Caenorhabditis elegans: one gene and its partner. The protein of the gene in region 1 interacts with the protein of each later gene in a biochemical or structural test. Each region holds a gene or a part of one and is shown in the gene's direction. Other genes may lie near its edges.

The links. The genes of interacting proteins can lie anywhere in the genome.
Region 2: of the proteins of mec-17 (region 1) and mec-12, one has a biochemical effect on the other in vitro, tested with the Caenorhabditis elegans proteins (one study listed by BioGRID).

What each region holds. Positions count from the first base shown.
Region 1 is NC_003282.8:7,985,319-7,989,074, reverse strand, and holds the start of mec-17 (Alpha-tubulin N-acetyltransferase 1), read left to right. Parts: upstream 1-1,891; 5' UTR 1,892-1,922; coding exon 1,923-2,002; intron 2,003-3,439; coding exon 3,440-3,577; intron 3,578-3,756. Other genes in the region: col-115 (Col_cuticle_N domain-containing protein), read right to left, coding at 244-387. UniProt on the Caenorhabditis elegans protein: Specifically acetylates 'Lys-40' in alpha-tubulin/mec-12 on the lumenal side of microtubules. Promotes microtubule destabilization and accelerates microtubule dynamics; this activity may be independent of acetylation activity.
Region 2 is NC_003281.10:3,137,385-3,141,140, reverse strand, and holds the start of mec-12 (Detyrosinated tubulin alpha-3 chain), read left to right. Parts: upstream 1-1,906; 5' UTR 1,907-2,006; coding exon 2,007-2,009; intron 2,010-3,391; coding exon 3,392-3,614; intron 3,615-3,756.

The sequences.
Region 1 (3,756 bases):
ATGCTTTTCTGGATATAATTAGGTGACCATTCTTCAGGTAGGGTAAACATTCTGGAAGCTAGGTTTTATAAGATGAAAACAAAACACACTTGCCACGAAGCTTCCAGAATGTTTGTAAAAATCTAATTTGGAAGAGTTATATTTGTGAGCGGAAATAATTTCCTTATAATTTTCAGCTTGTAAAATCATTCACATCTAATAAAAAGCAAATTAGGTAAACTATAAAATTAACAAATAAATTACCACTGCTTGAAGTGTAGATGTGATAAGAATTGGTAGAGCAAAGACGGCAAGAACTGCAACAAATACAGCAACTGATGACGAGAAAACGGCCAATTGACGCATTCGTCGCGCTAACAGTTCTAGATCTTTCTCATTACCCTTCATTTTCTGAAATTACTATTATAAATGTGTTAGCCAAGAGTCTCCCATTGATCACAGAATGGCAAACTCAAATTATAAAATATATCTGAAACAGATTAAATGTTATTGTATAAGATTTACATTTTTCAAGTTTTAATTTCCATTATTGTTTCCGTTTTTCTGTCAAGAAATCTATAGATGTGAGCATCAAATTTTTACAATAAGTTTGTTGGAGAGACTTTTAAAAATGAATACAATAATTGAATTTTTCTTCAAAGTGAGGAAAAAAGTAAATGTTGTATCCGAATGAAAGTTCAATACATTGAAAAATAATGTGAATGAAAAGCATTCAAATGTTCAGATTTTCGTTCAATACGAGGCTAACAGCATAAAAAAAAGAATACGCGTTATCACAGTGTTTTAAGTGTAAAAGAGTGACGAAGTCTAATGAAAAGGTATGCGTAGTTTACAATGGATAATTTGGGTGTGGAGAAGTTAGAATGATGTCTGCTGATGTTAATCACTTGAATTCTTGTTTTCTGATCTGCAAAAGCTTCTTCTTGAAATGGTTCTCGTTCTTGATATTCGAGATAGCTTTGAAAATTCCAAATTTTTGACAAACATCTAGAAATTTATTTGAAGATGAAGCAGTGTCTGTAGAAATAGTAATCATGTTTTCAATATTTATCATGTTTTCAATACCGTCCAACATGGCCAAATATTATAAAAAACTCTGAAGTGTAAAAAAATATTTTTCTATTTTTGAAAATTTTGGCAAATTCCCAATTTTCGAGAAATATTGGTTTTTAAAAAATAATTTTAGAGCAATGTCGCATTTTTGAGCATCTACAATGTTCAGATGCAAATAATTAAAATATAAACTTCCAAAATTAAAAGTGAGAGGAACTGAGTGGTTGACACTTTTGGCTGTAAAATTAGCACTATGTAGAAGAGTGGTGTTGAAAAACACAAAGTGTCTTGTAAAGAAATCTACAGTTTCAGAAAACCTGGATATTCAAAGTTTCTGAAAAGTACCACTCAAATTGCTCCTAGAAATAATTTTAAAAAACGATTCTCCATTTTCTGATAAAATTTCAAGTTACGGAATGTTTCAAATTCTAAATGAATCTGATTATTTTTCTTGCTACACGAATCTGAAAATCTAAAAATAGTCTTTTTCAAAGTTCCAATGAAATTTCCAGAGATCTCGAATTTAGATTTTTTGGAACAGTAATTAAAAATGTTTATCTGTTTGTGACTCTTCCAACTTCTTCCGCGTTTGTGTTTTCCTTTCTAAATTCTGCCAAAAAAGAAAAAGATCATCCGAATGTTTCAGAAATGAAGAGTCGTCAAGAAAAGAAATAATGCCAAACACTGATATAAAATTCATAGAAAAGTCACTTTGTATACTGTATGAATTCCGAAGAAATTGAAAGGAATTCTCCGATAAGAGCAGGCTCACCAAAAATGCATGAGAATGGGGAGGAAATGTGGGAGGAGGAGAGCTGAGATGAAGAGAAGCTGCTTCACCGATGGATCAGTTGTGAGACGATTCGATCATGCAAGTCGACGCCGACCTCCGACCGATTCTCGGTCCTCAACTCGTTCGTTTGGATCCTATGAGAGTTAAGCAATTGCAGTAAGTTTTTGATATATTCACTTAGTTTAAGAGAATGGAATGTTCATAGTGTCTGATATTGAGTAGTGAAAAACCCATTCACGAAAGTTTTTTAAACATTTGGTTTAGATGGTATCAGGTATAGAATATTTCTTTTTTATATATGATTCCATTTGCAATGTCTGTTAATCATTTTAGTTTTCCCCAAGATTTTAAAGATTTGCCTGATGTGAGCTCATATTTCTTCCTGTAGAATTGATAGTTCCACTGCTGAAAGTGTTCAATTCCTTTTTTAAACAGTTACAATGTGCTTTTCAAGAGATTCAAAATTAAAAAGGAGCTACAACGCTACAAATCTCTCAGTAAAGTTATAAGGATTTTGAATTGTGACTTTGAGATTGTGTTTTATTGTTAGAGGCTTGAGAAAATCAATTTTTAGTGCAAACATGTAATAGTGTGGAAATAATAATGTTCTCTGAGCAGATTGAGTCCAACATAAAGGTTTGCCTTGTCATTTAATCAAAACAAAGGGGAAAATTTTAACTTTATTGAAATTCGTTTTGATCTCAATCTGTGTTTTTTCTCGCTAATCATTACAATGGAATAAACTTATGTTGAAATTATATTTCTTGAAATTTTTCAGCTGTAATGTTAAAATACAATTTTTTAAACATATTGTAAATCAATGCCGTGGAGCACGAAATAAACTGAAGCTAACAATGAAATTCTGAAAGCAATGTATCTCGGAGCTTCCTACTGGTGCTAAATAGTTTTTGAGGAATCGGGTGAAGTCTTGTACTATTAGACTCTCTAATTAAATTTTGGAGTCAGACGACATATATCAACGTTTATTTATTCACATTTGTTGGATCTGAAGACATCAGTTCCTTCTCTATTTTATTTCTGAAATATAGTGTAATCACCTTTCATCATGGTTAATATACATCTTGAATTCAGTAAGAAAAAACTGGAATATTTGAATGTTTTGTTATTCGAAACACTGATAAAATATCAACCCGGTTATCTTTTTGCATAGCACCACAAATCATTACAACTTTAAACCTAAATGATTCTTGTGATTCTTCTTTTTATTTCTCACTCATGAGATAACCTGTTCCATTTTTCGTTTTATTTTTCCAACGCCTCCCTCTTAACAATCTTATCAATATATCAATTGAACATGCGGAAGATGTGATAAAAGTGATGATAAGGTTGAATTGTTCTTTAGTTGGGGATTGAACTTTCAACTAAATCTAGATTATTATTTTTGGCAATTTTGCTGAATCGAGTTGAACTAACTATAATCTGAAGATAATTGGAATTTAAAGAGAAGCTAGATTTGAGCTTTTTGGGGTTCTGTGAGATTAGAAGGATGATCTTACCAGAACAAATATGAAGTGTCACTTAAAATGGTCCGAATATAATTTTTTAAAAATAAATTCATCAAAAATATTTCAGGGATCCAATTGTCTATGAAGCAATCGATAATCTTGCTAAACTCTCAGCTCATTGCCTTCAGCTTCGTACTCCTTTGACAACTTGTGAGAAGCTTATCAACTCCGATTCAACTTTATATCTCTCTTGGAAATATGATGAGTAAGTTAATATTCTTATTCATATACTTCAGTTTTTCACAATATTACTCAATCATTATCGAATGAATAATACGGAATACTGTCAGACATATATTTTCTCGTCGCGATGATACTGTGGTCATCGTATGGAGTACTGTAGAATTATGAAGAGATATTGGGTATTTTATTATTATCTAGACG
Region 2 (3,756 bases), on another chromosome or scaffold:
AGAACAAAATCGGCAAGTTACTGGGGCTAACTCCAAAATGTTAAAAATGTTTAAAAAATGTTGAAAATTCTCGAAATTTTAACTTTGATCGAAATTGAAATTTTTTGCCGAATTTTTTCTGTAAAATTAAAGCTATCGTCAAACTCTTTTTTACAAAATCAATAAAATACACAAACTGAAAAAAAAACAATTCAGCTAGACAATTTGAGATTTTTCGATTTTTTTTCAAAAATTTTCAAAAACTGCACAACAAAATTCCCTTCGTTCTTTTTTCTCAAAGCCTTTTCTTCTCAAAATTTATCATTTTCCAGTTCTTCCAAGAATATGAGACCCTATCAAAAATGAATGAAAAAGGAAGATCATCAGCTTAAAAATTCATACAACAGTGGTCCCAAGTCCCCCAAAAAATTCCAAATTCATCAAAATTTGAGTGTTAGAAATTGTGATAAGGTCCTAGGATCCTATTGGTAGTAGGGAAAAACTTAAAATTTAACAAAAAAAAAGGAATTTTTTTGAAATTATACTAGTTTTGAATACATTTTAAGCAGTAAAGGCCAATAAATACACAGCTGAATACTAGTCACCGCAAGCTTCATCGCAGAGCTCTGAATCTGAATGCATTAGGAGGTTCTTTCCATTTCCATCGGTAAACCAATCCTTTTGCTCATTTCCAGATGGCTTTCTCTCTCGGCTCTCTCCACCTTACACACTATTTCCTTGGATTACTGTAGTTGGGCGGAGTCTCTAAGGGGTAACCTGATACTGTTTGCTGAGGGCTCACGGAGCCAGAGAGGGCAGATGGCTGGAAATTGGTGGAAGTGGTGGGGAGAAGAATGTGTTGTTGGAAAATGTAAAAATTAATTTTTAATTATTAATTTTTTAACATGTAGAAACTTTAAAAAATTCAACTGACTTGCGAAAAGGTTTTGAAAAATTACAAAAAAATTTCAAAGCAAGAAGTTTTTTTTCAATTGTTTTTTAATCGATTTCTCTCAAAAACCTGTAGAGCTACGAAAAAATTGTCAACAAACAAAGTATAGCTCTAAAAATTGTCTACAATTTGCTAGTGAACAAATTTTTGATAACTTTCCTGGTTTTTGAGATATACAGCTTTATCTACAAAAAACGATTTTTTTTCAAACTGTATTTTGAAAAACTGAACTAGAATAATAATTGGGATCCGAAAATTTTAATATTTTTGATGTTTTTTTGTGGAATATTCGGCAAACTTACCAAGCTCGGTGAATGGCAAATTTCGGAAAATTTGCCGCACACCCTGGCATGTACCTTTCACCTAGGTTCCTTTAGACACATGTATTTCCGCGACGAGATAATGTATCAAAAAGTTGTCAACTTACAAAGTGTATCAAATTTCAAGAGCTTAATTTTGTTTGTTGGCAATTTTTGATAACTCACCTGGTTTTTGAGATACGTACGTTTGAATTTTAAATTTAAAAAAAATTGTAGAAACTTTTTTTTGAAAACTTCTCACCAAAACTAGGTCTTTAGAGTCCTTTCTAATTTGCCTTTGGGCAATATGTTACTTTTTCCCCAGTAACAGTTAAATTATATGAAGTAGAAGTTTCGCGATGGGAAATATCAAAATGTAGAACATCATAAAAGCTATATTTTGCTAATTACCAGCAGAGATATAAGATTTTTAAACACTGTCAAGGAAATTTTTTATTTTGTATTTTATTAGTTTTCAACAGAATTTTAATATGTCAAAACCAATGTTCTTAACAATTTCGCAACATTTTAATTTAATTTCGTTTTTTCTCTGTTTTTCGGAATTTCATGTCGTCTCCTTTCCCATCCTAAACATGGAGCTCGCGGAGCAAAAAAAGAAACATAGGAGGGGCGGAGCATGTGTCAACACGGAGAGACGCAGAGAAGGCACGTCTTCAGAAAAGAGGCTCACAGAGCACAGAGCCCCACTTGTGTGTGTTCTGTTCCATCTCAACTCGTCGCCCAGCAAACACAACTTGTAGCTCCTCTTTTGCAAAATGGTGGGTTTTCTAGATTTTCTGAACAATGTTTATTTGAATGTTTAGATTCTTGAGATGCTAGAAATGAATTCTTGTGAAAAATGAATTTTGAAACATTTAAACCTCGCCATAAAAACTTTACGAATCTGATTTCTTGTTAAAACTACCAGTATCTAGAAAAATAACGTGAATACTAAAAATTTGTCAACAGACAAAATATAGACCTTGAAATTTCCTACATTTCGTTAGTTGAAACTTTTCTTCTAACTCTTTTCCCTGTGGAGATATACTCGTTCAAAATGTAGCAAGCCAAACAGTGTGGAAGGGGGCTGTCTGCGTCTCTTCTCGTGCCACACTATTCCAGTCCTCCTAACTTTAACAGGGCATATCTCCGTTCGGAAAGCAACTGTCAAAAAGTTGATAACTAACAAAATGTAGGAAATGTTAAGTGCTGCATTTTGTTTGTTGAAATTTTTTGATATCTCAGCTCTTCGCTGAGATACAAACACTTAAAGTTAGCGACGAGATAGTGTAAGAAGTGGTGAGACGCAGACGCCATCGCCGTCTGCGTATGCGTTATCAGGACACATCTTGGTTAGGAACCCTGATATCAAAACAAATTATTTTAACAATTTTAGGAAAAAAAAACAATTTTTCGAAATTTGATTTTGAAAAACTAGGATTTTAGGATTTATTAACTCTTCCACCTCAACACCCCTTCAACATTTTTTCGACTCATTGAGCACACCTGGTGCCAGGTCCGGACTTCCGGAGCCCCACCACATAAACACAGGAAATGTTGCCAATTCAACTGAAAAATGCTCCGCGCCGAGCAGGACGGGGCGAAGGAGGGTTGTTGAGGAGTTGAGACGAGCAACACAAAATGTATCCAATTTGGGCGAAAATTGACTTTTTTCTCTTTCTTTTTGCGGGTGGAACTTTAGGGAGGAGAGGACTATTCCTAGAAGAAATACGCACTCTTCGTGGCGAGACCCGCGAAATTTTATTGAAAATTGAGTTTTACAATAAAATAGTGGGTTTGAACAAATTTGAAATTCGCCACGAATGTAAATTTTTCAGAGGGTTTGATCTACCTGTCTACCTGTAATACATATCAGATATCGTAGTAAACTTTTTAAAATGAAAATTTGAAATTTTGATTCAAAAATTCAAATTCACCACGCTGTGAGCTTCAATTCAAGTATAGTCATGCCTAGGTTTCACTGAGAAAACTGGGTCCCACCGCGAAAACTACAGTACCCCATGTAGACACTTTCGTGACGGGACCCAAATCTAAAGGAACATAGCCAATATGGGGCTTAATTTGAAGCTCTTCGTTTGCTGAATTCAAATTTTATAATAAAACCCTTTAAAATCTACAAACAAAAAAAGTTATCTTGCAGAGAGAAGTAATTTCGATTCACATCGGACAAGCCGGAGTCCAAATCGGAAATGCTTGCTGGGAGCTCTACTGCCTGGAGCACGGAATTCAGCCCGATGGTCAAATGCCTTCTGACAAGTCCCTCGGAGGATCCGATGACTCTTTCAGCACTTTCTTCTCGGAAACTGGAAGTGGACGTCATGTGCCAAGAGCCGTCATGGTCGACTTGGAGCCAACTGTCATTGGTGGGGGATTTTTTTTAAGAAGATATTTTTGAATTTTCACTTAAATTTTTGAAATCAGTGTTAAAAGCCCGTTAAAATAAGTATAATCATGACTAGGTTCTGAAAATGCTGAAATTTTTGGGTCCCGTCACGAAAACGTATG